Saccharomyces cerevisiae S288C: one gene and its partner. The protein of the gene in region 1 interacts with the protein of each later gene in a biochemical or structural test. Each region holds a gene or a part of one and is shown on either strand. Other genes may lie near its edges. The genes, in order: SSM4 and UBC6.

Region 1 (17,218 bases):
ATTAGTTTATTTTTCATTTTTTTCCACTTTGCTTCCCGAAAGCCAAACTTGGTCATTGCGAACGAGTTGCGAAGCTTGTCCGTCAAGAAGTATTAGTTATAGTACTATTAGTACAGATGATACTATATAAGGTATATCGTGTCGTATGTTCAAATATATTGGGATATGATTTCCTTTTTTCTCTCTTCCTATTTGATGCAGTATTCCAAAAGAAAAAGTGGGGATCGAAGGTGAGACATAACGGAGTTATTTACAAGCGGAATAGGAAGGAAAAGGAAAAGAAAACAAAAGAGTACATCGAAACCAATCAGGTGAATTGTCTAGAACCCCCGCGCACAAACTCCAAGATCTTCCACCCTTCTGTTTCGTCATCGTCGATTTGCTCTGGGTCTCTGGTGAAAACCATGGCATAAGAGCTCATCAAGATATTAGCTTCGTCACCAGCCGCAATCTCGCCAGTTTTCTTTTTCCTGTAAAGGTTGATTTCTTGTGCTCTACACCCGACCACCAAGACTGGGATGTCTTGGGGAGCCAATAACTTTGCACTCACTATTTCAACGCCCCTGATATCTAGGATACGGCCATCGGCGTAAACATCCTGTTCTTTGAAGATTTTCTGTTGGGCGGCGTAAACATTGAATGGCGCCTCGCTGAACCATTTTTTGAGAACTTTGACATCGCCTTTCACATACGCTTCGAGAATCTCGGGAACAATGTATTCTCTTAAGTGTCTGGTGAAGCTTTCGTTCGAAAAGGTTGGGTCCATTAGCTTAAATTGACTGTAAACACGGGAGGATTCTGTTTCTGCAAAGAAACCGCCCACTTTGTTGGTTATTTTCCTCATGACAACAATTAAGGGGTTTTCACTTTCATCCCACAATTTGTTCTTTAAAGATTGTATAGAACGGCCAACCACGGTTTTCTCCTTGAAATCCTCCACTTTCTTACCAAACGATTCTTTAGACTCGATATTTGTCGCAACCACTGCTGTTCCTGCATCTTCATTGCTCTTTACTGCCCTGTGTCTTTTCCCAGAGGCCAGGTCTCTCTCACGTTTAAGTCTCCTTTGCTCTTTCGTGATAAACCCACCGTATCGGGAACTCTCCCCATCGTCAATGACTTCTGAGACTTCCTTGTAAATCTTCGTCTGTCTCACTGGCTCAAAACTCTCATCCAGCTTCTTCGCCGTGGCGGCAGCCGCCTTTCTTGTGTTCTTACCGAGTTCGGACTCCCAGGCCTTAGTGGCTATATGTTCCATGGTCTCACCGGTCTTTTTCAGAGTTTTACCCACAATTGTGGAGCCTCTCTGAGCTTTCAAATATGCTTCCCTAGCCTTTTTGTAGGCCTCAGACTCGCCTAACTTTCCCGAAGCATCTTGCAGCGTCTTTATGTTCTCCTGCAGTTCCTGAGACTTCTCCCATTCCTTCTTGAATGTATCGCGGAAAATCTGGAGTGGTGATCGAGGGTTTCCACCTTGCGCACGGGTCGTAGAGGTGGAGAATAATACTCGGGCAACGAGTAATCCTGTGTACTGCGATCTGTACCTTGCGGTTAGTGTCCTAGAGCTCGTGCCGGACGTCCTGATAAAAGTGGATCTGTGCATGAACTGAAATAGCAATTGCTGCGGTAGTGAAAAATTCAGGAATAAAAAAACGAAACACTATAAGCTCGGTCCTGCCCTCTTATCCCAACTTTTGCTTACTTGCGGGCTTATTATACTTGGTACTTTCAAACCTGGTTCCGAAGCCCATGCTACTCAACCAGTCTTCTTTGACATATATGACTGAGGCTCTCCAGTGGGCGAAAAAGAAAGAGAAAAAAACACCCGGCCGGGTAACTGAACATGGTTTTCCGTATGGTTGCTACCGTTACTAGTATTTACAGGTGAGAAGTTTACTTATCGTAAGAAGTAGCTTGAAAAGCGTACTGAAGAAGTACCTAATCATAATGTTCTAATTTTGTTTTATTAGTCGTGGTGTTCTTTTCTTTTTGTTTCAGCGTCGTTATTTAAATTTTATGTTATGGCCAAAAAAAGAAAGTTTCTAAAAATAAATGAAGAAAAGGATACAACTCAAAAAGTTATCATATAAAAATACTAAAGTAGGTCTGTTCAGATATTTCGTTTCTGAATTTCTTCTAATACACAATTTATACGTAATTTAGTAGAATTTCTGCGGAGAACCAAACTGTGCCAGTTCTTCCAATATATAGTTTTCCGGATTATTATTCATTCCCTTTCCATAGAACAGTAAACTGAAAAAAAAAAACGTCTTAGGAAAAAGGTGGAAAAGGAAAGAAGAAAATAAGAATGAAATAGAAGGAGAACAGAAGCAGAAAAAGCATGAAGGCGTCGCACATTTGCTCTTATTTGCTAAGCATTGCACCCCTAGTGGTGTCCCATGGAGTACATCATAATCGAGATCATGGCCACGAGGCAAACCATGAGTCCAAGCAAAGTTTCTTGATTTTGAAGCAAGAATCCATTTTTTACTCTCTAGTTTGCTTTCTGCAGAACCACCTCTTTGTCCTGGGACCCCGTTACAATGCGATTGTGGCTATCCTAATCATACAACTTATGCCGTGTCTTTTCGTACTGTTTGTTCCTGGACTGCGCAAGAACGATCGTGCCAGCTTGACACTGTCCTTACTAGTTTCCTTTTCTCTAGGAACACTCCTGGGTGATATTTTATTACACGTGATACCTGAAAGTCTCAGCGGCGTAACTGATGTCACAATGGTTGGAGGAGCCATATTTCTGGGGTTTATAAGCTTCTTGACTCTGGATAAAACGATGCGTATTCTGTCAGGGACGTCCAACGATGACGGCAGCATACATTCTCATTCTCATAGTCATACTCCACAACAAACTGCAGAGAAGAAAGCGGGCTTTAACATGTCTGCGTATCTGAATGTCATATCCGGCATTGCTCATCACATCACGGATGGCATAGCGCTGGCTACGTCATTCTATAGTTCCACACAAGTTGGCATAATGACCAGCATAGCTGTCACTTTCCATGAGATCCCTCATGAGCTAGGTGACTTCGCCATTCTGCTTTCCAGTGGGTTTACGTTCCCACAAGCGATAAGAGCCCAAGCGGTGACAGCTTTCGGCGCCGTCGTTGGAACGTCCATTGGCTGCTGGATGAACGAAATCGGGAACAACAGCCATAAAGCAACGTCTTCATCCGCGAACGCATCTGAACTTATGCTGCCGTTCACGGCGGGCGGCCTCATATACATAGCCACTACTAGCGTTGTACCGCAGATCTTACATAGCTCCGCACCCGATAGCAAGCTTCGAGAGTTTAAGAAGTGGGCCTTGCAGCTAGTCTTCATTTTTGTAGGATTTGCCGTTATGGCGCTCATGGATGAGCATTGATTCAGCTTTGTATTACTTGGCGTGCAATATACGTACCTTTATAGTAAATATCCTTGTTGCCTTATATGGTACCGACGCTTCCCCGGATTTCAATTAAGGCAAAAACAGGCGATAATCAGATCAGATCAAACATTTATCTCTGACCTAATACAAAAAAGAAACACAAACAAGAACAGTATTGATCGGTTTAAAGGCGTGCACAACTGTTTTAAAGATGTCCAATTTTTTACTTGTGATCCCTGAAGACGTGATCAAGGGCTGCTCCAAGGCAGATAAACTAGTTGTTACAGGAGAATTCGATAACTGGAGACATTCCGATTATGTTCTGCAGTATGACGGCAGCACACAGAACTACAGGGTGCAAATTCCCAGAAGAAAGGGCCAACGTAGCACCATGTTCAAAGTGGTGATAAACGACAAAAAATGGGTCACTCTCAACTACTTCGACACTGTCACAGACAAGTCAGGTTACACCAACAATATTCTCCACTTTAAGGACAATGAGGCCAGTCAACTCATGGATATACCTCTATCACCACATACACGGTCCAACACCGCAAAAGGGAAACCGGAAGACGACTCTTTAAATGATTATGTCAACTTGTCGTCACATAGTGACCTAAGCAGCACAGAGGAGATAGTGTGCTGGAATTCTGATATGGAGGACGAAAACATGGATGCAACCATCCAGTGTGATTTCCATCAGGCGTTCAATAGCAGGAAAGAGTCTCTAAATGGGCTAATGTGCATTGCCAAGAAAGTCAAGACGTACTGGAACAAATAGACAACTTTTTCAAACATGTTTCTTTTATGACAAATATATATATTTCAATTTTCTCTTTTCTATCTAGCTATGGTTTAGATATACATATTTTTAATAGATTTATTCCTTTTCACTTATATCACAAGGTGAGCATCTCATTTCGTGGAATAATCATCGCTGTTAGCCGCCGAGGTACACAGGCTCCAACAGACAACGGCAAAAGATCTGGCATTATTACTGCTTATGTAAAAGAGGAAGATCAATTTAAAAAAGGAAAAGGAAGGGGTTTGCGTATTGGTACATTGCAAGCAACTAAACGTCTAATCGACTCATCCTACGAAGCTCTGTTTTTAAGCATTTATTGTCTATCCTCATCAAAGCAAAGTTTCGTAACGAAAAAAAAAGCAGCCTGCTACCGATAGGAGAGTAAATTAAGGTCAGCTAGACGATTAGCACACAAGTTAGATAGTTGTGCTTTATCCAGCACAGCATGAAGTAAAGCTCGTACTTATCCTGCCTAGAACTTATTCTATTACTCTCATCTCTGACGGCAACGCGACGCGTGACGCGTAAGATAAGATGATTCTTTTGTTTCCTTTCCTCTATATTGATTAAAGAGAACAAAGCTTCAAGTAAACAAAAATAATAAAGAAAGGCGATTGACCTGAGAACAAGAGCTCGGACGAAGGTAACATGACTGCTGTGCGTCGCTCAACTAGAATAAGGACTAAATCTCAAGTTATTGAGGAAGATTACGATGACGAGCAAAACACCAGCGCACAACACGTAGAATCTGATAAGATCACTGCCAAAACGCAACATGAAGAAGAAGAAGAGCAAGATACTGGTGAAAGTGAAGAAAGTAGTAGTGAGGATGACTATGAAGACCAGGATGATGATGACTACGTAGATACCGCTACGGCAAAGAGAAAGTCTAGAAAGAGAAAGCCCAAATCAGCATCAAATACCAGTAGTAAAAGGCAGAAGAAAAAACCTACTTCTGCCCAGAAGTCGGCGGTATCTCATGCGCCTGCTTATCACCGCTCTAAAAAAGATCAGGATCAATACTTAGAAATTGCGAAGGATTTCCAACCTACAGAATTGTTTGATATATTATCCACTTCAGAAGATGTTTCTATTGAAGAACTATTGCGAGAATGGTTAGAAACCTATTCTGAAAATAGAGATAAATTTTTACAAGAATTTATCAATTTGCTATTGAATTGTTGTGGCTCCGTCGCTCGCGTCGAAGACCACGACGTTCACAGCAATGAATCTTCTAACGAAACGATTGGTGAAATTCAGTTGCTATTTCAAAGACAGAAACTGCACGAATTTTACCTCTTGATTAGCAAGGAAAACAAAAAGAGAAAAAACTTTAAAATGGGTCCCCTTTATCAAAATTTCGCGGAATTCATGACTAAATTGTTGGAAGTGGCAAATGACTTACAATTACTATACGTGGAATCGGACGAAGATGATACCCAAATAGTTACTGGTAATCTTGTGTTGGATTTGTTGACTTGGCTGTCTTCTTTTTCAGTTTGCAAAATCAGATGCTTCAGATACATTTCTACGCTAACGCTATATCTTTTCCAGGACTATTTGACCCAACAGGCTGTTAATTTAGAAAAGAATTATTTGGCGAAGTTATCCAAGCAGTTATCACTAGAAGAGAAGAAAAAAAGGCCCAATAACAAGACTTTAGAAAAGCTAGAGAGCACTATCGCCGAAACTCAAGGCAGCAAAGTCGTTATTGATAGCATTATCGATAACATCGTCAAACTATGTTTTGTGCATAGGTATAAGGACGTGTCTGATTTGATTCGTTCAGAATCCATGTTGCATCTATCCATCTGGATTAAAAACTATCCCGAATATTTCCTCAAGGTTACATTTTTAAAATATTTTGGCTGGCTGCTGAGCGATAACTCTGTATCAGTCAGATTACAAGTTACGAAGATTTTACCGCATTTAATAATCCAAAATCATAACAGTAAATCCACTGATAATTCCGCTATACGCCAAGTATTTGAACGCTTCAAAACTAAGATCCTGGAAGTGGCAATCCGTGACGTTAATCTTGATGTAAGGATCCATAGTATCCAAGTTCTAACGGAGGCGTCATCATTGGGCTATTTAGATGATTCTGAGATTCTTATCATTTCTAGTTTAATGTTCGATGAAGAGTTCGACCCATTTAAAACATCCTCATTCAATAAAAGATCCAAATTTCTATCCACGGTGGCCAAATTCTTAGCAAGAGTAATAAAAGAGAAATTTGACGAATTCATCAAGACGCATGAAGACTTGCCCAAAGAAGTCGACGGGTTAGAAGTTGGACCCGTTGTTCAAGTCGGTATATTTATCAAGATTCTGAATGACTCTTTAATTTATCACTTGAAGGATTGCGCTGAAGTTGATTCAAGGACAAAGATCCGTATGCTAACACAAGCAGCAGAGTTTTTGTCTCCTTACATTTCCACTCACTTGAAAACTATTTGCAATCTGCTGATCTCTGACACTGAATCAAATGAACTGATCCAAAAGTTACAAAACTCGGCCAATAATAACAGCGATGACGAGGATGTTGACGATGAGGAATTGGACATCACTCCATTGTTTCCCATTGACAGAAATAGCACTATTTTATATCTGAACGTATTCCACGGTCTGTGTGCAGGTGCCAACAACCCCAAAATCCAAACTAAGGACAGCGTTAAGGAAATAGTTTTGCCTTTATTCTACGATTTGTTGAATGCCGCATCCATCGAATCTGCTGATATTCTGTGTCCTCTCCTAGAGAGCTTTATCACATTTTCTCTGGATGATTGGATATCTATTGGATATGAAACTGAATTAAAAAAAATTACCGACAAAACTATTAAAGCATTTATGGATTCTACAATCGGGAATTCAAAAGTTGACATGAAGTACGATATATTTGCTAAATTCATTCACCATATCCATCATTTTGAAAAAAAGGAACTGCAGGAAAAATTTTTAAACCAGATAGCTACATTGAAAATTCATTTAAAAAAATTTCTACAGGAAAAAATGGATCCAAATAATTCTAGGGACGACTACAAAGATTTAACTTGTTCTTTGTACGAGCTCTACATCAATAAACTGACAATTCTTGGCAGGGATTACCCAATCGAGGTTGATGAAGAGTTGTTGCAACTGTTTTTGAACAATTTTGTTTCCCGTATCCCTATAATGTTTCAAGATTTTGATGATAGTACCGCTCAAGAAATAAACTTTAAAATGCTAGTGTTATTAGCCACATGGAATCTGGAAAAATGGAGAGAAATAATAGAGAAAGTAAGGGATTACGAGAATTCTATTTCAAAAGATCTTAGATCAGTTTGGAAACCAATTGCCGCTATAATAGGTCGTCTAAACACACTCGTTATTTCATTGGCGGCTACAAACGAAACATTTGAAAACATAAACAGCTTGTTTTACTTAAAATGGTCAGCTTGCACTTCATTAATGGATATAATCGTTGCAATAAAAATATTTGAGCTCAAATTGCCTGCAGACGCTACAACATGGAGATATAGTATGAGTGAACAATTTCCATTTTACCTTCACGATAATGCTTCCAAAGTGCTTTTGAAAATATTTTTATATTTGGAGAGTCTTTTCGCTAAGCAAGTTGACGTCCAATTAGAAAGGGTAGCAGATGAAGACGCCAACCTAAATGATTTGCCGGAAACCGGGTTTTTCGAGAATATTGAAACTGAATTCCTTTTATTCACAGTTAAATTGAAGGGACTAATGAAACTGAATATTTTAGATGAACGATTTGCTTCCCGTGTGGCACTAAACAAAGAAAAGCTTGGCCCGCTGTTCAAAAAAATCGTAGATGATACCATAATGGAAAATCCAGAACCTAATAAAAAGAACATACAGAAAGCAAAATCAAATCAAACACAGAGGGAAAAAGCGCCTTTACAACCCAACAGTGAACGAGAAACCGACCATGCAAATACTGAAAATAATGATCCAGATATTCCCATGACAATCGATCTAGAACCTATTGAAGAAAGTTCGCAAAATAATTCAGAGTTAGCACCAATTGAGGAACACCCAACCGTGGTAGATGCTATAGACAACAGCGACGAAATCACACAAGATTAAGGGAAAAGATATACGTCAGACTTATTGCTCTTTTGTAAAACAATAAGATCTATAATATATATCACATCTTTCTTTTGAACATACATAGCTTCGTTAGCAGTTTTTGATTAATCATAAATACTTCAAATATCCCTTCGCATTAGACTATACTCGCTGGATGATATTCGGCTATGTATTTTCCAAGCCCATTCAATCGTCATCAAAGCGCCCTTTGCTTCTTCGAAAACTCGCGATGTAAACGCAGCGCAGAAAAATCTACTTTTGAATATAAAATAAAGTCAACTCAGATAGTTGTTATGCATGTTAATTGTAGCATCTAAAAAGCGATCGTAATTAAGCCCTACCGAGATACAAAAAAGCAATTATCAAGAGATGTCGTTTGTTTCCAAGCTTCTCTATACAGTCTCTGCATTGGTGTTATTTCATTCTGGTTTCTCAAGCTATGAGTTTCATCACTTATTAAAACTTAACTCGCTTAATAATGCACAAGGTGCAATCAGCAAGTTACCTAAAGATATCATGTATGAAACGTATGCAGGATTGATACTCTTTGTTCTTGCAGTGTTCACTTCGTTCGAGAAATTACAATATTTACCAATTGAGAGTAACGATGGGAAGATAATATCCCAAGGAAACTATCTAAAAGAAATCGCATTAAATAAAGCCACCAACGTGGATAACTTGATAGGAAGTAACCCTAATGGTGAGATCATATTTACTCCAAGCTTTGTTGACGTTCATATGAAGAGAAAAATTTGCAGGGAATGGGCCTCTAACACTGTAAAAAAAGAAAAATAAATAAGATACTGAAAACTAGAGCTAGAACTTATAATTTCATACATATATACATATCAAGATCTAATAAGAGGATTAGCTAGATTTTGAGCATAAATTCGATAGCGAATCTACTCGAACATCGTAACTGCACAAAATAAGGCGTCAGGTGACCAGGCACCTCTTCTATTTACACCAACACAGACGCCTTTCATAGAGGAATAGAAAGCTATATTAGAATCACCAATAATGCAAGCGTCTCCTGTGTTCTATAACGTGAACCATAAGCTTGAGTGGTTTCAAAAGGATTACGGGGCGGATAGTATCTTTTGCGTCTTCGTTGGATAGTTTGTTATTAAGATACATAAATACACACTAAATTTAGTGGTAAAATCTTCTATTCAATATTATCGAGAGTCTCGGTTTGAGGGCTAACACTCTAATGGATAACCGTTCGGAATATTTCTATTCCAGTTTACATAGTATAAGTACGATATTCATCCTCATGTTAGCGTAAGTGGAACTTGTTCAAATCATCCTGAGGTACAGACAAGCCCTTATTGATGATTCATTCTGTTATTTCAGGAACAGGTAATAGTTCTCCACCACTTGAACGCCCATGCTAGTTGTAAGGTGCCGTATAAAGGCAGTTATGATATCATGTATGCGTTTATTATAAGTATTATCGCCTGCAGAAATAACAAAAGTGACACATATTGGTACAGGTACTAAACCGATGCTAACCGTACTAAAACAATTTACCACCCGGCTCGAGTTTTTTATTCTTCACAAACTTTTTCTGCATTTAATTGTGATGAATAACGAATAACTATTTCCTTGATCACCTCAGTAATCGCGAAACGTGCATTTGTGGTAGCAACAGTTTTAATGACAGTAGCATAGCCTATTGCACCTCCACATGAAGAAGCTACCAGTCCACCGCCAGAAATAGACAAAATGGTAACATCGCTTACATTAATTAGCCCTAATACAAAAGGTTGCCATTTGCTAATTTGTTTTGGTCGTCGAAAACCATTTGTGTCGTCGTTAACCTTTCCATTTATTATTCCAGCAATAAGAGCAAACCCCAATGAGACAGTACAAGCTGTAAGGGGAACATGCCCTATTACCAGCCCAAATGACCAATTGACTAACCAATCACCACACACACCCGCAGCTGTGTTGCGTGCGACGTTACCCAATGTTATGGTAATGGCTTGCTATATACTGACTCGTTCAGGTGAATAGAGAAAACCCGTATCACCGTAAACCCATCAGTGACCGTTTTAATTACCACAGCTGTTGCTAGCGAGTAAAAACCCTTTTCACCACTGGTATATAATATGTTCATCGTAAACAACCAATTGGCAACTATCCGGGAGGTCACGGCTGCGCTGCATACTTTTAAAACAGCTTGACGTGGATTAGACCAATTCACCATACGTTTGGAAAACATACTGGCCATTATCCAAGGTGTAAGTATAACGTCAAAGCTGCAATCAACTGTAGAATCTCTTCCTAACACATTTCTATATAACGCAACCAACATTATCATTGGAAATGGCATACAAACAACGCGTCTGAATAACCTTGCATCGTCCATGTTATTGCCTTTTCTACACCACGCAGCACCTCTTTAATGCAGCAGCCGTCACTATTTGCATTGACGCATGTCTTCATCCTTGAATGCCTGGCGATAGTATAGGTAAATTAGTTAAATACAGCTTTGAGTAATTAGGCATGTACTTCCTCTGATTTAGTGACAGGTTCAATTGTTAAAGTATTCCCATTAGGCCAAGTTAAAAAGCGAAATTTATTTTGTTTTACAGATTTCCATTGAGTTTTTATGCCTAAGGGCGTGTTTTTTCAGCTCGTAAAATCATGAAGTTGTAGCACGCTGGCTCACCATGACAATTCCAATGGTGCGGTTCAATCAATTCACTGAGGTAGAATGGTGGACCATGATATTCAGAAATAGGTAAGTCCTGAGGTAATGATTAGGATTTAACTGTTGACTCTATTATAAGGTATACAGAATATACTGGCATAAAACAAGGATCATTAACACGCTAAACAGGGTGTTGTTTAATATCATGAATGCGCAAATAAGCCCTTTTTGCTGCAGCAAACTTTATGTACCAAGATCTTAAAGGGACTCGTTACCAAGATGCGAGTGAGTAGTCTATTATTAGAGAGTAGATCAGCTTCCGCCGCTTCCTTTTTTAACGGGAAAAAAAGTAGAAGCTGGGACAACTTTTTCGCTGCCAATAATAATTAAAAAGAAGGACCCTTTTTTCATTATAGGTATATTTGTTAAATATTTCCATTCCTAAGACAATCAACAACGCAGTTATGCAAACCATCAAAGAGGGCAAATGAACTATTCCCGCTCTTCGTAAGGATGCTGTATTACCGCCGTTAGCCATCAGAATTACTATAAAAACAATGCGGTTAATTTTCATTGCGAAAATGCTTCAATATTCATTTCTACCATTTTCCCCGTTCAATCTTTTGAATTTTGATAATAGTATAAGCGTAAGCTGGTTTATAACATACTCAGTGATCGTTTCCATTTGGGGGTTTGCTGTGTGGATTGAAGGAGCATATAGGAATAAGATTAATCTACAGCTTCCAAGATGTACGAAGATAAAATGCTCCCGCTACAATACGAGAATAAAATCCCCCAAGTGGTTCAACTGTAAAAATTGGATGCATTTTTTCCTATTATACCTTTTTCTAACCGCTTCTAACTTAATTGTTCAATTGGCCTATTTTTCAAAAGAAATGTGTAGTCAGGGTATAAACGTTCCTGGAACGAAGAAACCAGGTAATAGAGTTTATTTATCGGTTATCATACTAATGGGGAACGGGTGATAGAACTTTTACCAATGAAAAGAAATCAGCAGGCCATAATTTGGCTTTATTAAAATTAATAACATTATGGTGCTGTTGCGTTTATTAAAACAGACTAAAGCTGTTGGAATGAAATTCTAATGTTATCTATTTAGTAGTAATAGCATCACATGCGGTGTAAGAGGATGGCGTAAATTATGAGAAGCTGTCATCGAGGTTAGAGGAAGCTGAAATACAAAAATTGATAATGTAATAGGAGAATGAAACATATAAAACGGAATGAGGAATAATCGTAATATTAGTATATAGAAATATAGATTCCATTATGAGGATTCCTAGATCCTCGAGGAGAACTTCTAGTATATTCCGTATACATAATATTATAAGCCTTTATCAACAATGGAACCCCCAACAATTATCTCAAAATTCACCCATATCTTAATTAGTAACATGAATAGTACTAAACAGATGATATTTTAAAGTTTCATTCCAACAAGCATCTTAAATGTGCTATTACTTCCTAAAATAAGTAGTTTTTCCAACGAAATAGCCTTGTTGGCGCAATCGGTAGCGCGTATGACTCTTAATCATAAGGTTAGGGGTTCGAGCCCCCTACAGGGCTATCTTTTTACCATTTTCAATTCAATAGAAAAATTAAATCATTAGAGACGGAAAACTGGTTGAAAACGCATCGATTGAGGACATTGAAAAGATGATTATGACCGATCTATGAAGCCATAAGATTACGTTAAGAATAGTTCTTTGTTACTGATTTCAAAAACTGTTTTTTTAGCCAAGAGTACCACTAATTGAATCAAAGAGACTAGAAGTGTGAAAGTCATGGATGTTGATTCTGACGTTAATGTCTCCAGGTTAAGAGATGAACTGCATAAGGTGGCAAACGAGGAAACAGATACCGCCACTTTCAATGATGATGCGCCATCCGGCGCCACCTGCCGTATTTGTCGTGGAGAAGCTACTGAGGACAATCCTCTTTTCCATCCTTGTAAATGCAGGGGCTCAATTAAATACATGCATGAATCCTGTCTGTTGGAATGGGTAGCTTCAAAAAATATAGACATTTCAAAACCAGGCGCGGATGTTAAATGTGACATCTGTCACTATCCCATTCAATTCAAAACGATATATGCGGAAAACATGCCCGAAAAGATACCTTTTTCTTTACTACTATCCAAGAGCATCTTGACATTTTTCGAAAAAGCTCGTTTGGCTTTAACGATTGGTTTGGCCGCTGTACTATATATTATCGGTGTTCCTTTGGTATGGAACATGTTTGGAAAATTATACACCATGATGCTAGATGGATCATCCCCTTATCCTGGTGATTTCCTAAAGAGTTTGATTTATGGTTATGATCAGTCAGCAACTCCAGAATTAACCACGAGAGCAATTTTTTACCAACTTTTACAAAACCATTCGTTTACGTCTTTACAATTTATTATGATAGTGATACTACATATAGCATTGTACTTTCAATACGATATGATAGTAAGAGAGGATGTTTTCAGTAAAATGGTTTTCCACAAGATAGGTCCAAGATTATCTCCCAAGGACTTGAAATCACGTTTGAAGGAAAGATTCCCCATGATGGATGATAGAATGGTTGAATATTTAGCGAGGGAAATGAGAGCTCATGACGAAAATCGTCAAGAGCAAGGTCATGATAGACTGAACATGCCAGCCGCAGCAGCAGATAATAATAATAATGTTATTAATCCCAGAAACGATAACGTTCCACCTCAGGATCCTAATGACCATCGGAATTTTGAAAACCTTCGCCACGTAGACGAATTAGATCATGATGAGGCTACGGAAGAGCACGAGAACAACGACTCTGACAATAGTTTACCATCAGGTGATGATTCGTCACGAATTTTACCGGGGTCTTCAAGTGACAACGAAGAAGATGAAGAAGCAGAGGGGCAACAGCAACAGCAGCAACCAGAAGAAGAGGCAGATTACCGTGATCATATAGAGCCCAATCCGATTGACATGTGGGCAAATCGTCGTGCGCAAAATGAATTTGATGACCTAATCGCTGCTCAACAGAACGCAATAAACAGGCCCAACGCTCCGGTTTTCATCCCACCACCTGCCCAAAACAGAGCTGGAAATGTCGATCAAGACGAACAAGACTTTGGCGCAGCTGTTGGTGTGCCACCAGCACAGGCTAACCCAGACGATCAAGGACAAGGCCCTCTAGTGATAAATCTCAAATTGAAATTGTTGAATGTCATTGCTTATTTCATAATTGCCGTAGTTTTCACCGCAATATACCTGGCAATTTCCTATTTGTTTCCAACTTTTATTGGGTTCGGTTTGTTGAAAATTTATTTTGGTATATTTAAGGTTATTTTGCGTGGGTTGTGCCATCTTTACTACTTGTCTGGCGCTCATATAGCTTACAATGGGCTGACGAAACTGGTCCCTAAAGTAGATGTCGCGATGAGTTGGATTTCAGACCACTTAATTCATGACATCATTTATCTTTACAACGGCTACACTGAAAACACCATGAAGCACTCAATTTTCATCAGAGCTTTACCTGCTTTAACGACGTATCTAACCTCAGTCAGTATCGTTTGTGCTTCATCCAATCTTGTCTCGAGGGGTTATGGCCGTGAGAACGGAATGAGCAACCCTACTAGAAGGCTGATTTTCCAGATTTTATTTGCACTCAAATGCACTTTCAAGGTGTTCACTTTATTTTTCATCGAATTGGCTGGATTCCCCATTCTAGCTGGTGTAATGCTAGATTTCTCATTATTTTGCCCAATCCTGGCATCCAATAGTCGGATGCTTTGGGTTCCTTCAATATGCGCAATATGGCCTCCATTTTCCCTTTTCGTATACTGGACGATTGGTACTCTCTACATGTATTGGTTTGCCAAATATATCGGAATGATTAGGAAAAATATCATTAGACCAGGTGTTCTATTCTTTATCAGATCTCCAGAAGATCCTAATATTAAGATCTTGCATGATAGTTTAATTCATCCGATGAGTATTCAATTATCAAGGCTTTGCTTATCCATGTTTATTTATGCGATTTTTATTGTCTTAGGTTTTGGCTTCCATACTAGAATTTTTTTCCCATTCATGCTCAAATCGAACTTATTATCCGTTCCTGAAGCTTATAAACCAACATCAATTATTTCATGGAAGTTCAATACAATTTTGCTAACTTTATATTTTACGAAGAGGATCCTGGAGTCTAGCTCTTACGTTAAACCCTTATTGGAAAGGTATTGGAAAACAATTTTTAAGTTATGTTCAAGAAAATTACGTTTATCATCCTTTATCTTAGGTAAAGATACCCCAACAGAGAGAGGCCATATTGTTTACCGCAATTTGTTTTACAAGTACATTGCTGCCAAGAATGCAGAATGGTCAAACCAAGAACTTTTCACTAAACCAAAGACTCTAGAACAAGCAGAAGAATTGTTTGGGCAAGTTCGTGACGTTCATGCTTATTTTGTCCCCGATGGCGTTTTAATGCGTGTTCCTTCTTCTGATATAGTATCCAGAAATTATGTACAAACAATGTTTGTCCCCGTTACAAAGGATGATAAGCTGTTGAAACCATTAGATTTGGAAAGAATTAAAGAGAGAAACAAACGTGCTGCTGGTGAATTTGGTTATTTAGACGAACAAAACACGGAATATGATCAATATTATATCGTTTACGTCCCTCCAGATTTCCGTTTACGCTATATGACATTGCTTGGCCTGGTTTGGTTATTTGCTTCCATTTTAATGCTTGGTGTTACATTTATTAGTCAAGCTTTAATAAACTTTGTTTGTAGTTTCGGCTTTCTTCCAGTCGTAAAGCTATTGTTAGGTGAAAGAAATAAGGTCTATGTTGCATGGAAGGAACTCTCTGACATTAGCTACTCCTATTTGAACATTTATTATGTCTGTGTCGGATCTGTTTGTTTATCCAAGATTGCTAAGGATATTCTTCATTTTACAGAAGGCCAAAACACTCTCGATGAACATGCCGTTGACGAAAACGAAGTAGAGGAAGTGGAACACGATATACCAGAGAGAGATATCAACAATGCCCCTGTTAATAATATCAATAATGTGGAAGAGGGTCAAGGAATTTTCATGGCCATCTTTAACAGTATATTTGATAGTATGTTGGTGAAGTATAACCTGATGGTGTTTATAGCTATCATGATTGCGGTTATTAGAACTATGGTTTCGTGGGTCGTCTTAACCGATGGTATACTAGCCTGTTACAATTATCTCACCATCAGAGTGTTTGGCAATTCTTCATACACTATTGGTAATTCCAAATGGTTTAAATATGACGAGAGTTTGTTATTCGTCGTTTGGATCATTTCGTCAATGGTCAATTTCGGAACCGGATATAAGTCATTGAAACTATTTTTCAGAAACAGAAATACTAGTAAATTGAACTTCTTGAAAACAATGGCTTTGGAACTGTTTAAACAAGGTTTCCTGCACATGGTAATTTACGTCTTGCCGATTATTATTTTATCCTTAGTATTTTTACGTGATGTTTCTACAAAGCAGATTATCGATATTAGCCATGGATCCAGGAGTTTCACTTTATCGCTTAACGAATCATTCCCAACATGGACAAGGATGCAAGATATTTATTTCGGACTACTGATAGCATTAGAGTCATTTACGTTCTTTTTCCAAGCAACTGTGCTGTTCATTCAATGGTTCAAAAGTACTGTACAGAATGTAAAAGACGAGGTTTACACTAAGGGTAGAGCTTTAGAAAATTTACCAGATGAAAGTTAAAGGCGTTTTCTTCCTTACATTTAAAATGAATGCTAGCATATTTACATATATATATCTACATTAAGTTATATGTTTTTCCACTGTTTTATTTCTTATTGTTAGAATTATAGAAAAAAAATTTTTGTAAAACATTTCATTAGAAAAATTTACCATTCTGAATACGAAAGAACAAAATAAAAAATATGCCTATTTATGTGAGTATGTATATTACTAGTTATTTTATTGCTGTTACTATTATTATGCGAGAATGTTAAAAAAATAAAAATAAAGAGGAAAAGAATAAAAAATATAAAACTATGCGTGCGAGTGCTTTCAAGGGTCTTCATCTTCCAAGAGTATAGGATTATCTCTGCCCTCATCCCAAACAGAATCTTGAGACTGGTTATTTTCATCTCCATAATTAGAGAGAAGTTGTGCATTTGATCCCTTGCTTGTCGCGCTGGTTCTTGGAATACCCCTAGTTGGACTACTAAATGCCACATCATCAATATCAACCAACT
Region 2 (14,089 bases), on another chromosome or scaffold:
TAAGTTTACTTTATTAGATCCATCTAAATCTGGAATGGAAAGCGTAGAATGATTTTCGTTATTCCGTGAGTTGACGGTACTATTACGATTTAAGTTCTGCTGACTATTACGCTCAGTTCCAGAAGTGGGAGTCGTAAGATATTCATCATCAAGAGTAACTTGATCTGTCAAACTATCATGGTCGCCCAATTCTTCACTATCGTTATTTTGGCCATCATCATTCCTGATGCTCCCCACGTCAGCCTTTATTGAGCTGGATGTTGTGAGTGATCTTTGCCTTTTCTTGTCGAACTGTTGCTTGAGGTCAAAAATATGCTTCTCAACTCTTTTTATTGAATTGTCAATTTCTCTAAGTTGAGTATTCGCTCTAATCCTCATCGAGTGCTTTTGTAAATGATTCGTAGAGTAAGATCCAGAGTATATATCAGATATTGTAGAATCCCGAAGATGTTCGATATCGTCTTTTTTCTTGCGCAATCGAGCTAATTCTTGATATTGGTTGTTTATTTCTGCTTTAAGATTTAAAAGTGCCTTGGTCATAGTACTTCTCGTTCGTCTTGCCATTAAGGGACTGGTCGGTGAAGGTGCACTATTTTCTAGCCTCTTGGTGGAGATAAATGAGGTCGAGAGTACCAGATTTTGTTTATTTCTTTTGGAACTTTCATTCGTTATGGTTGATGGGCTGCTGGAGGTGATGTTCTTGGCGCTTGATATTTGGGTGCTCGAGTTATCACGGCTATGTCTAGGGGTTAACAGTGGAGTAGTATTAGTTACTGACCGGCGCCGACTTGAGAGAGGGCTACTCTGTTTTGCACTGTGAGGTATGCTCATTGTGAATTTCAAAAACTTAATAGAAGCGGTACAGCACGAAGCAACCTCCCTAGCGTGTACACCTACAAATTGAAGGTACCTTAGTTATATCCGAGAACAATAGAACTGCTTGATATTCCATCTTCCATTTCGCCGATGGATCAATCAATTTTTAAGAGAATGCAAAAAAGAAAAAGATTACAATATGTATAATTAAAAGAAGAAAGAATGTATACGGATATACGATATGTGACCAGCCGGCAACGGCTCGTAGTTATACCATTATTTACAGTTTAAAGAGATTAAGCCAATGCGTAGTGCTACTTGTTGTTTTCGCTCGACAGGAGGTCTTGCAATTGCTTAGTTAGTTTGGAAGTTTCTTCGTCCATGCTCGTGTCGGTTTCTAAGGCTTGTGGAAGGCTCATGAACTCTCTAGTCTTAAATACAAACTCTCTTGCCGTTGAAATGTCAAGTGCCCAACAAAAGCCGAATATCAATGTGCTGAACGTACCTATTGAAGCGGCGGATGCATACGTTAACGCTGACATGGCTTCATTCCTTTGGGAAAAAGGTGGAAGCTTGTAATTTTGTTGAAATATGCTGGGGACGTCTGCTTTCAGTAGACGGTGTTAGTAACTATATCCTATTATTAGTTTTGGCCACTGAACTAGGACAAAATACATACATTTTCGTACTTTTATGGCCCTGGAGATAAGCCTCATGGTAATCAGGGTGAAGGCGGCCGCACCATAAAATCTGGCCATTTGAAGAACCCTGCGTTTCTTAAGTTCCTTCTTCTCTTCGATCATAGTTTCGTTTCTTGATGAAGTAGGATAGTCGTACTAATTGCTGACAAACCCGTCAAAGAATCAAGTTCCCCATCCTAATAAGTATTAAAAGCGCCAATTTTTCAAGAGACTCGCGGCTGGTGAATAACGCTGCTCCTTAGAAAAGGACAGCCAGCGGATAGCTACTCAGATCTTCGACTGACTTTATGCATTTTAGTATTTATATATTCATTCGATCTATTCTGTTTACTTAAAAATTAAAGATGAGTTGGATGTGGAAAATTCTTGACGTTCCGCTGATATTTTGTGTTGGGGTTGTTTTTGGGACCATGAGATTGCCATGAACCGATCAATCTTGTCTCATCTTCAAGTATCTCTTCACCACTTCATCCTTCTTGATGATGTATACTACAGCTCCCCAGCCTGATAGAGCGTCACGGTCAGCAGCATTCAGTAGGGCCTGACTTATAGTTTCGAAAAGATCTTCTGGCTCTAGATTAGGTTCGTACAGGGACTCACACATACCGAACAGTTGGTCGGATGCAGTACCGCTAACGATAAAATCCTTGGCCTCGTCGATACAGCCGATTAGGTCGAATCCCGCAATAAAGGGCTTCCCGGACTTGGAATTAATACCTGCTACCACCGGCCCCACAAAGTATGGACCGAATCTTCTTTCATAAAGTGAACTTGACACTAATTGGGTAAACGTTTCAGGCTCAATGGCCCTTTCTTCCTTCAACTTATATAGGTTCGTCTTGTAGCGGAACATCTCGTTCAGAGTAGTCACGTCGGTAGCCAGACCGGTAATCCCTAAGAACACATGCCCATAGTGGAAGATTTTTTCAAACTTGTTCGACACACCTAGTGACTGGCTTCCGAGACGCAAATCACAGGCAATGGCCACACAGTCTTTACCTGTCATCGCAACGACGATACCACCGTTAATAGAACTTGGATCCGACATTTTTTTTTTATGCTTTATTCACTGTTCAATATTTTCACCACAATTCGCAAGAAACGCACTCTACTTCGAAACTACGGTTCAAACTTACTTAGCAGCTTCCCGATTTAATTGGCCTTTCTACTATGCCATAAACTCTTTCTTCCTCTCTTTTCATCGCCCCTGCATTTGCACTTTTTTGCCACCGGCAGTGCCATCCGGTCACATGACTACACCACGTTAATAGCGATCTGGCTTATCATTGTCACAGAGTAAATTAAAATGGACGGTAAATGTTGGAAATGCACCACTACCGTTCTTCAACCAATCTAGTTTAGCTATCCTGCAACAGGTGGCCTTCTTGAGCATTCCCTGAGCATTCCAACCGGTTGTATCAGTGTTTTATCACCGTCTCACCATATCCCACGACTAGGCCACACTTCGTTACCCTATGCTACGCGTCATTTCCGCTATTTCTGTCCTGGTTTGTTTACAGTACGCGTGGTGGGACCATAAAGGGGAATAGTGGGGACTGGAGAAAAAATTTTCTCAGTTACTTCTTCTATCTTCCGTAGTTTCCATATACTAGTAGTTGAGTGTAGCGACAAAGAGCAGACGTAGTTATTTGTTAAAGGCCTACTAATTTGTTATCGTCATATGTCTCAAGTTCAAGAACAACATATATCAGAGTCACAGCTTCAGTACGGGAACGGTTCGTTGATGTCCACTGTACCAGCAGACCTTTCACAGTCAGTCGTTGATGGAAACGGCAACGGTAGCAGCGAAGATATTGAGGCCACCAACGGCTCCGGCGATGGTGGCGGATTGCAGGAGCAAGCGGAAGCGCAAGGTGAAATGGAGGATGAAGCATACGATGAAGCTGCCTTAGGTTCGTTTGTGCCAATAGAAAAACTGCAAGTGAACGGGATTACTATGGCGGATGTGAAAAAACTAAGGGAGAGTGGGCTTCACACTGCTGAAGCGGTAGCATATGCTCCCAGAAAGGATTTATTGGAAATCAAAGGTATATCGGAAGCTAAGGCAGATAAGTTGCTAAACGAAGCGGCAAGGCTAGTGCCTATGGGATTTGTCACGGCTGCTGATTTTCATATGAGAAGATCGGAGCTGATTTGTTTGACAACGGGTTCTAAGAATTTGGACACTCTTTTGGGTGGTGGTGTGGAAACTGGTTCTATTACTGAGCTTTTCGGTGAATTCAGGACAGGTAAGTCCCAGCTATGTCACACTTTGGCCGTGACATGCCAAATTCCATTGGATATTGGTGGCGGTGAAGGTAAGTGTTTGTATATCGATACCGAAGGTACTTTCAGGCCGGTAAGATTGGTATCCATAGCTCAGCGGTTCGGATTAGACCCGGATGATGCTTTGAACAACGTTGCGTATGCAAGAGCCTATAACGCCGATCATCAGTTAAGACTTCTGGATGCTGCTGCCCAAATGATGAGCGAGTCTCGGTTTTCCTTGATTGTGGTCGATTCTGTTATGGCTCTATACCGTACGGATTTTTCTGGTCGTGGTGAACTAAGCGCAAGGCAAATGCATTTAGCCAAATTTATGCGTGCTTTGCAAAGGCTGGCCGACCAATTTGGTGTTGCAGTCGTCGTTACTAACCAAGTGGTCGCCCAAGTTGATGGTGGTATGGCTTTTAATCCAGATCCAAAGAAGCCTATCGGTGGTAATATTATGGCACATTCTTCCACCACGCGATTAGGTTTCAAAAAGGGTAAGGGATGTCAAAGATTATGCAAAGTTGTTGACTCACCTTGCTTACCAGAGGCTGAATGTGTGTTCGCGATCTATGAAGATGGTGTTGGTGACCCCAGAGAAGAAGACGAGTAGGTATTTGGTCTCTTGTCTCTATTTATTTACACAGGTTTACTTTCAATTCTCCTCTTTTTCTTAGGTTGCGTTCCGTACATTTTTATCTTCATTTCCATCCACTGTCTTAGATTTTTGCATATATTTTGTCATATACCTCGCAACCCTACTGCGGTCTTAACCTTTTTTTTCAGTTCTTTTAAATAACTTTCGTATTGTCTGTCACCCATGAAATATATGTATTTTTCTACTCTTCTTCCCGATGACTACTTCCTCCTGCAGGGTCCGCGCGGCTTTATCCTTTTAGGGGAGTGAAGAGAAAAATTTTCTGATATGTCGCCATCCTCTTATAAAACCAACGTAAAATACCATACACTTCTTTATGGCAATGAATTTCCTTGTCTTCGTTTCGACGTTTTTAAATTGAATAAAAAATTGTACTTGGAAAAAAGAATAGAACAATACTTTTGCTAACAGCAAGAGAAGTACGGTTGACATTACGAGTATCCCTTTGTTAAAATCAGGCAGTACCCATAATGTCCATGACTATTTGCTCAAATACTCCTGGTGCATACCCTGAAATTGGAGCTTATAATGAGGTTGATAAACAGTTGGAATCAAGCGGATTCTCCTCTGATTCCTCTCTGATATTGAATAAACCAGAAGTTCGTCAATACTGGTCATCCGTTTCATCTCATATTTCACGCTCAGGTGATGTGTTTACAAATGATAAAGAAAAAATTTCATCCTCTATTGGTGAGGATGCGATGGATATCGACGCTTCGCCCTCATTGATTGAAAAATATAACTCTTTTCCCACAAGAAAGATTCTTCCTGAGCAGGACGAGTTTGAGAACGACGTTGAGGACGATGCTTCTTCCTCACTGAAGGAAAAATCACAAGGTTCTTGTGAAATTGAAATTGCTTCTGAAATTTCATCCGAAATTTTAAATGGCACATCGGCAGACGGTAATTCCGAGTTTCACGACTTCGCTGAGCCCCCTCCCTCTCAGAATGAATCTGTCGCTCTGTCTTTTAGTCAATCGAATGATTTGGACTTTTTGAATAATCCAAGCGGATCAGGCTCTTCAAACGATATCAATAGAAGTACAAGTTCCATTTCACTTCCTAGACATGTGTCACTAGATTTTAACGTTTACAATAGTCTTTGCCTCACAAATGAGGTGACTGCATCAGAATCACATAATGTGGCCAAATTTCACCTTGGCAAGAAAAACAAGAAGAGCTTGCTACCAAGATGGAAAACCATTGAAATGTACGGGGAGGTAGTTAAGAAAACTCAAGACATATATTCTAATTTTCAGTATGCACAATACATTTTAAGGGTAGGGTTGGATACCGAAAAACTACACGAACTTGTTAAGGAACTGGAGGATGAAAGCAATAGCTTCTCTGTAGATTCTTTAAAGGAATATTTAGTGAACGATGCCAAAGTTATTTTGAAGAAACTAAGTGCCGTTGGATACCCTGATGCACAGTACCTTCTAGGTGACGCCTACTCCTCTGGAGTTTTCGGTAAAATAAAGAATAGAAGAGCATTTCTTTTATTCTCCGCTGCAGCCAAAAGAATGCACATCGAAAGTGTTTACAGAACTGCCATTTGCTATGAGTGCGGCTTGGGTGTAACCAGAAATGCACCGAAGGCGGTTAACTTTTTGACTTTTGCTGCAACTAAGAACCATCCTGCAGCAATGTACAAATTAGGAGTATATTCGTATCATGGTTTGATGGGTCTTCCAGATGATATTCTAACCAAAATGGATGGTTATAGATGGTTGCGAAGGGCTACATCTATGGCTAGCAGCTTTGTTTGTGGTGCTCCTTTTGAATTAGCCAATATTTATATGACGGGATATAAAGATCTTATCATTTCGGATCCAGATTATGCTATGGCATTGTATGAGAAGGCGGCGGCTTTAGGGCATACTGAATCGGCAAGAATACTAGAAGACGCTCGCAGAAGTGGAGGGTTTGTTTCGCGAGGACATCCTCCTTCGGCACAGAAATATCATAAAACCTCCCATGAAGCTGTGGCAGCCAAAAAGTTGATTTAATAGATAAATACAAACTTCGTTTTCCTTTTATTTTGTTGTTTTTTTTTTCACAAACTGTGGAAGTTCGATTAACTTTAGAAGTTTGTTTGATCAAAAATAGACTGATCCTCACACCTTTCGTTACTATTTGTTACTTTGCTGTATATCGAATAAATAAACCTGACTAAACTCCTTCTGTTATTTAGCGCAGATCCTATATGCTGCATTTTTAGATGTATTTGAGCACTACTATCGTTAATGCCGTGGCATTGGCTATGGACCAGTTAAGTCACGGCCTTTCTTAGTTCTATCATATACGACGTTATACTTATTTACTTTCCCAGCGTTGAAATTAATGTGTCTTTTTCATAATATTTACTTTTTGGTGCGGAAATCTGTAATATTTTAAAACAAAATCTCATCCTTTTGAAAAGAAACGATGAAGAAAAAAAATAATAACATACATTGTACCTTCACTAACACTTGTAAAACAAACGCTTACATTATAATGGCACAAATGAGCAATCAGTGTCACTTCTTCCTACATAAGCATAATTCAAGTATCGGGATATAAAGCTATTATATACCGCTTAAGATAAGAGGTATACACCTCATTGATCAAATACGCAACAGCGTCTCCTTTCAGACCTTTGTGGAGTAATTTCTGCGGGTAGGATTGACTATTTTTCAAGATCAATGCCCCCTCACACTAAGACCTGTTTGCTTAGCATCATAAATGAGTTTTTCCATAATTAAATTTCAACCATAGATTAGAATTTCGTTGCGGGATAAAACTCCAGAACCACAACGATTATGCAGCAAATGTAACCTTGAACTAAACTAAGATTTTGTTAGAGCAGGTGGTTTCCGTTACTCAGACAAGAACCTATAGTAGAAATATAAAAGTTTAAGTAAAACTTTCTTGGAATAGGAATCAGCCATCATCTATCAACTAGTGTACTGATATTCATAATACTGGTATACAATCATATACGGTGCGGGAAGATGACATAAAAAATTGAGAAACACTCATCAAATTTAATGGAGGCCGAAATGCAGGGACTCAGATCGTGATAGAATAATAAACGAGAACATATAAAATGGAAGAAAAAAGAATAACAACAATATGTAGATTTATCGATTCTGTTGATAATTAGAGGTAAAAAAATAGTATTAATGAAGAAATAATTACTGATCTTCTTATACTAAATAAGAGAGGTATATAAAACACACGCCGATTGGTCATATTAATCATGACCAATATAATAGTGATTCCGGTAGTTACTATACATTGATGTGACGACTCATATTCCTCATATATGTACCTACCATAACATGTTCAACTAATAGGTGTTTAACACAGCTTCAGTATTGTCTGAGCTTCTCGTTTAACATTCCTTCTGCAATAGGCGCAATCACACTTAAACGTATACGAGGTGTACATTAATATACGATGTAAGCATTAGATTGTTACCATAGCAACTCATGTCACTATTAATTACTCTCGTTCCAACAGATTCTCCTTTTATGGATTCCATATCTCGAGGAGACTTCTAGTATATTCTGTATACGCAATATTATAGCGTTTACGAACAATGAATCCCAACAATTATTTTAAAATTCACCAACATCTCAATATGTGTTTTATGAATATTTTAGGTGGGTATTGTCATACTGACGTATTCCATTTTGAGATGCAACACATACGTGTATTGTAATCCGATATAGTGTAACGGCTATCACATCACGCTTTCACCGTGGAGACCGGGGTTCGACTCCCCGTATCGGAGTACTTTTTTGACATCATACAGTGTATGTATGGGGTTAGGAGCCACCTTCCAACAAAGCATCACGCTGTCGTATCTCAATTGTCCTTCAGCAAAAGAAAAAGCAGTTGGGCTCCTGTACGCCATATATACTTTATATGCGGTTTTTACCCCGGAAATCGCGTTTATTAATGTCAATGCGCGATTTCTATTATGGGTTGAAAAAGTTGCACTTCTGTTCCTTTCCAAACGATATACGCCCCCCCCACAAGAAAACGTTTCTCTTGCATTCAATAAGGTCCATCGAAGCTGTATTTGGAACTTCCGATTTTATTAAACTTCTAGGGGCGAACTCAACCTTTCGCTTGAACAAGCTTGAATGTGTCGAAAACCTTAGCTCGATCCTTAAAAAAGTATTTGCATTATCAGTAATAAACAGAAAATTAAAACATTTACCAAAGGCAACGAGTCTTCCATATGAAAAATGATAAAAAGATGGTTATCTGTGAATAGGAAAAAGTCACACCCGGAGAAGAACACTCAAGGTAATGACGAAATTAATCGGAAAGCAACTAGCCTGAAGAAAACGAAAGGTTCTGGAGATCCCTCCATAGCGAAATCACCAAGTGCTAAGAGTAGTACATCAAGCATACCTTCTAATCTTGCGAGCCATGAAAGAAGAAGCAAGTTTAGTAGTCAAACGGATAACCTTGCAGGAAATAAACATTACCATGAGCATTACCATAATATGGCAAGTACTTCAGATGAAAGAGAGTACGATTCCTCGACTACATATGAAGATCGTGCGTTCGATACAGAGTCCTCCATACTATTTACTACTATTACAGATTTAATGCCATATGGGGATGGTTCCAATAAAGTGTTTGGTTATGAAAATTTTGGGAATACTTGCTACTGCAACTCCGTTCTACAATGCCTTTATAATATCCCCGAATTTAGGTGTAATGTGCTGCGATATCCTGAAAGAGTAGCCGCAGTAAACAGAATACGCAAAAGTGATTTGAAGGGTTCAAAAATAAGGGTATTCACTAATGAAAGTTTTGAAACATCTACTAATAGCGGAAATTCTAATACGGGGTACCAAAGCAATGATAATGAAGATGCACATAACCACCACCACCTTCAGCAGAGTGATCAAGATAACTCCTCTTCTTCTACTCAAGAAAAACAGAATAATTTTGAAAGAAAAAGGAACTCGTTTATGGGTTTTGGAAAAGATAAATCGAACTATAAAGATTCTGCAAAGAAAGATGATAACAATGAGATGGAACGGCCTCAGCCTGTTCACACAGTTGTAATGGCCTCTGATACATTAACAGAGAAGCTTCACGAAGGCTGTAAAAAAATTATTGTGGGAAGACCGCTTTTAAAGCAAAGCGATTCCTTATCAAAAGCTTCAACTACAGATTGTCAAGCAAATTCGCATTGCCAGTGTGATTCACAAGGCAGTAGGATTACATCAGTGGATGATGATGTCCTTGTTAACCCTGAGAGCTGTAACGATGCTGTCAACAATTCTAATAATAATAAAGAGAATACGTTTCCAACAAGTGAACAAAGAAAAAAAGCCGCTTTAATTAGAGGCCCCGTTCTTAACGTAGATCATTTACTTTATCCAACCGAGGAAGCTACACTTTACAATGGACTAAAAGATATATTTGAGTCTATTACTGAAAACTTGTCGCTAACCGGTATCGTTTCACCTACAGAGTTTGTCAAAATTTTAAAAAAAGAAAACGTCTTGTTCAACACTATGATGCAACAAGATGCCCATGAATTTTTAAACTTTTTATTAAATGATTTCAGTGAATATATTCAACGCAATAATCCCAGAATGAGATTCGGACCACAAAAGACAGACAACAGCAACGACAACTTTATAACGGATTTATTCAAAGGTACACTGACGAATAGGATCAAATGTTTAACTTGTGACAATATCACCTCAAGGGACGAACCATTTTTAGACTTTCCAATAGAAGTACAGGGTGATGAAGAGACTGATATCCAGAAGATGTTAAAAAGCTATCATCAGCGTGAGATGTTGAACGGGGTTAACAAATTTTATTGTAACAAATGTTATGGTTTACAAGAAGCAGAACGTATGGTCGGACTGAAGCAACTGCCCCATATTCTGTCATTGCACCTAAAAAGATTCAAGTATTCAGAGGAGCAAAAGTCAAACATCAAACTTTTTAACAAAATACTCTATCCACTAACTTTGGATGTTTCTTCCACTTTTAATACATCAGTATATAAAAAATATGAACTAAGCGGCGTCGTCATCCATATGGGGAGCGGTCCACAGCATGGTCATTACGTATGCATTTGCAGGAACGAAAAGTTTGGGTGGCTTTTGTATGATGACGAAACGGTGGAATCCATAAAAGAAGAAACTGTGTTACAATTCACAGGTCATCCAGGTGATCAAACTACAGCCTACGTTTTATTCTATAAAGAAACACAGGCTGATAAGACCGAAAATCAAAATGAAAATATAGACACTTCTAGTCAAGATCAAATGCAGACTGACAATAACATTGAACAGTTAATAAAATGCGATGATTGGTTAAGGGATCGTAAATTGAGGGCAGCTGCAAATATTGAACGCAAAAAGACCTTGGGGAATATACCTGAAGTTAAGACTGCAGAAACCAAGACGCCATTAAATGATAAAAAACGCAATAAGCAAAAAAGAAAATCGAGAATATTGAGCTTCATCAAATAAATCGGGATTGTTTCGATACATCATATAGTTGAGACCCATCTGTTCTAAAAGTATCAATATTAGTGTACCATTTTTTCTTCCTTTTTTAAATAATTTCCACGTTTCTTTCTATTGTTCCTGATCTTTCGAATTTAGTTGTATTTCACTTCACCTACTGTAATAACTTTTTTTTTTTAGAGCACAATAAAATTTCACATATTTTCCAAAAGCAAGGGCGGTAAATCAGAAAAGATTAAGCTTTAATGAAAATCTCATAGAGACCAGATGAAGAATATTGGTGGCAGCATAAGCGCTAATACTGAATAGATATACGCATTTTTTTTCAAAATATCTGTTAGTACATTTATACAAATATATTCGTTTATACCTCTTCTTTAAACAGGCGCATGTGTAAATAAATATGAGACTGATTCTCCATTATGCAATCTTCTGATAGCTTCTGCAATCGTAGGGCTGATATCCACCTGATCGACAATGTCCAAATCCAAATCAACAGGTACCGTGTTGGTGCAAACAATTCTTGATAACCTACTATTTATTAACTTCTCCCTAGCTGAGCCAGAAAATATACCATGTGTGACAATAGCGATAACCTCCTTAGCACCGTGATCCATTAATGTGTCACAGGCTTTCACCAGCGTACCACACGTGTCAGCCATATCGTCAATCAACAAGCATGACTTACCAGCAACATCACCGACAAGCAGCATTCGCGAAACTTCATTAGCTTTTTGCCTCTCCTTATGAATCAAGGCAAAATTCATATCCAGCTTGTCCGCTAAAGAAGCCACCCTTTTCGCACCACCAGCATCAGGCGATACCAGTATCGCATTATTGAAATCTGTTTTGGTCCTTATGTAATTCAACACACTTGGTTCACCGTATAAATTATCAACCGGGATATGAAAAAACCCTTGAATTTGTGAAGCATGGAGATCCATAGTAATAACATGATCACAACCCGCAGTTTCCAAAAGATTGGCAATCAGCTTCGCAGTGATGGGCGCCCGCGATTTATCCTTCTTATCTTGTCTAGCATAAGGGAAATTTGGTATTACTGCCGTAATTCTTCTGACTGATGCCGTCTTACAAGCGTGAATTAAGATAAGTAATTCCATTAAGAAATCGTTGATTTCATGTTCCCCGTAACCAGTTTGGATGATATATACGTCTTCATCACGAATGCTTTCCCCTATTGTAACAGACGTCTCTTTATTTGAATACTGATATACCCCCACTTTAGATAACGGTACACCAAGCCTTTGGGAAATAAGCTCAGCAAGCCCAGGATGTGAGTTACCAGCTAACAACTTAATACTGTTTGTAGACATATTCAACGAAACTTACGACAAGATAGTCTTTGGATGATGAGGAATATCCTCTTCTTAGCAATCCCTCGATGCCTCCTCATATCATCTATTGTTCAAAATTTTTTCATTGTTGAAAAATAGTCACGTGCTTAACCATTTTGCTGCGCGATTTGGTAGGAGGATAAATACACGGGCATACCGTATCTGTTCAATAGCAACAATGTCGGAGAGAGCTAAACTAGCCAACTCGCCATCCTATTCCACTGGTCGCTTGAGTCGATATCCTTCCACAGCAATATTGCACTTTACAATTAGGATAGCCTCCCCAATAAAATAAGGAAATTTTGGTTATTTGTGTTCAGAAAAAGCCGAAATCGATTGCAGAGAACAGAAAGGAACTTTCCGATTATCACACTTTAGGAGCCGTGATAAAGAAGACTACCATCGCATATCGCAGAAAAGACTTTAAATATTAACTAAAACCGCATTCGCAAATTGCAAACAAAGTACGTACAATAGTAATGGCTACAAAGCAGGCTCACAAGAGATTGACGAAAGAGTACAAGTTGATGGTGGAAAACCCTCCACCATATATTCTTGCTCGCCCCAACGAAGATAATATTTTAGAGTGGCACTATATTATCACAGGACCTGCGGATACTCCTTACAAGGGCGGTCAATATCACGGTACTTTAACTTTCCCGTCTGATTATCCATACAAACCACCGGCTATCAGAATGATAACACCGAATGGACGTTTCAAGCCCAACACACGATTATGCCTTTCTATGAGTGATTACCACCCTGATACTTGGAATCCTGGCTGGTCTGTCTCAACCATTTTGAACGGGTTACTAAGTTTCATGACCAGTGATGAAGCCACGACAGGATCAATTACAACATCAGACCATCAGAAGAAGACATTAGCAAGAAATTCCATAAGTTATAACACTTTTCAAAATGTTAGATTCAAATTGATTTTTCCGGAAGTTGTACAGGAAAATGTAGAGACATTAGAAAAGAGAAAATTGGATGAGGGGGATGCGGCAAATACAGGTGATGAAACAGAAGACCCTTTTACAAAGGCTGCGAAGGAAAAAGTCATCTCGTTGGAGGAAATTCTAGACCCTGAAGACAGAATACGCGCTGAACAAGCGTTGAGACAATCAGAAAATAATTCCAAGAAAGATGGCAAAGAACCTAATGATAGTTCTTCAATGGTTTATATTGGTATCGCTATTTTTTTGTTTTTGGTTGGCCTTTTTATGAAATGAAGCCATTAAATGAACTAAACTTTAGATAAATTTTGACAACACAGAATAGAAATCAATAGTATTATATAGACAAAACGGATCTTTTTATTATGAACATTGTGAATTATTAATTATATTTTTGAGTATGTATTGACCAAGAAACCTCAATAAAAATGAGGTGAAACCTAGGGAGACAGAAACTCCCATTTCAAAAACCTTCAACTTTCATTATAAGCTTACCTTGAGCACGTTGTGTAGCCATATAGGAAAATGCTTCCTTGAAATTTTTCCAGGAATAAACCTTATCAACAACGCAATCTACGACTCCCTCATTTAGCAGCTTGCCGCATTCATGTATCCAATCATTCTTCTTGGGGATAATCTTGATATTGGGGTCAAAGTAAAAATGAGAATAATCGTATGACCATAACATTGATCCAAACATTTTTCTTGCATTGGCGCTAGGGTTATCCCAAGAATCAAAGACGTCTTTCTTATAATTTCCAACATAATCACCAACTGTTGTAATATAAGCACCTTTAGCGTGAATTAAAGAACTCGAGTGACTCAAGATATC

What was found.
Region 2: the proteins of SSM4 (region 1) and UBC6 form a complex in vitro, tested with the Saccharomyces cerevisiae proteins (4 studies listed by BioGRID, with this or other methods).

What each region holds. Positions count from the first base shown.
Region 1 is NC_001141.2:295,550-312,767, reverse strand, and holds SSM4 (E3 ubiquitin-protein ligase SSM4), read left to right. Parts: upstream 1-12,758; coding exon 12,759-16,718; downstream 16,719-17,218. Other genes in the region: protein translocase subunit TIM44, read right to left, coding at 308-1,603; Zn(2+) transporter YKE4, read left to right, coding at 2,342-3,382; ATG45 (Atg45p), read left to right, coding at 3,597-4,166; cohesin subunit IRR1, read left to right, coding at 4,839-8,291; EMC5 (Emc5p), read left to right, coding at 8,664-9,089; EMA17 (Ema17p), read left to right, coding at 11,511-11,939; SUMO protease ULP2, read right to left, coding at 17,031-17,218. UniProt on the Saccharomyces cerevisiae protein: E3 ubiquitin-protein ligase which accepts ubiquitin specifically from endoplasmic reticulum-associated UBC6 and UBC7 E2 ligases, and transfers it to substrates promoting their degradation.
Region 2 is NC_001137.3:346,782-360,870, forward strand, and holds UBC6 (E2 ubiquitin-conjugating protein UBC6), read left to right. Parts: upstream 1-12,780; coding exon 12,781-13,533; downstream 13,534-14,089. Other genes in the region: TORC2 complex subunit TSC11, read right to left, coding at 1-831; AIM11 (Aim11p), read right to left, coding at 1,131-1,420, 1,496-1,619; PUP3 (proteasome core particle subunit beta 3), read right to left, coding at 1,948-2,565; recombinase RAD51, read left to right, coding at 3,199-4,401; SHC1 (Shc1p), read left to right, coding at 4,917-6,455; putative ubiquitin-specific protease UBP9, read left to right, coding at 8,685-10,949; ribose phosphate diphosphokinase subunit PRS2, read right to left, coding at 11,324-12,280; AST2 (Ast2p), read right to left, coding at 13,721-14,089. UniProt on the Saccharomyces cerevisiae protein: Catalyzes the covalent attachment of ubiquitin to other proteins. Functions in degradation of misfolded or regulated proteins localized in the endoplasmic reticulum (ER) lumen or membrane via the ubiquitin-proteasome system.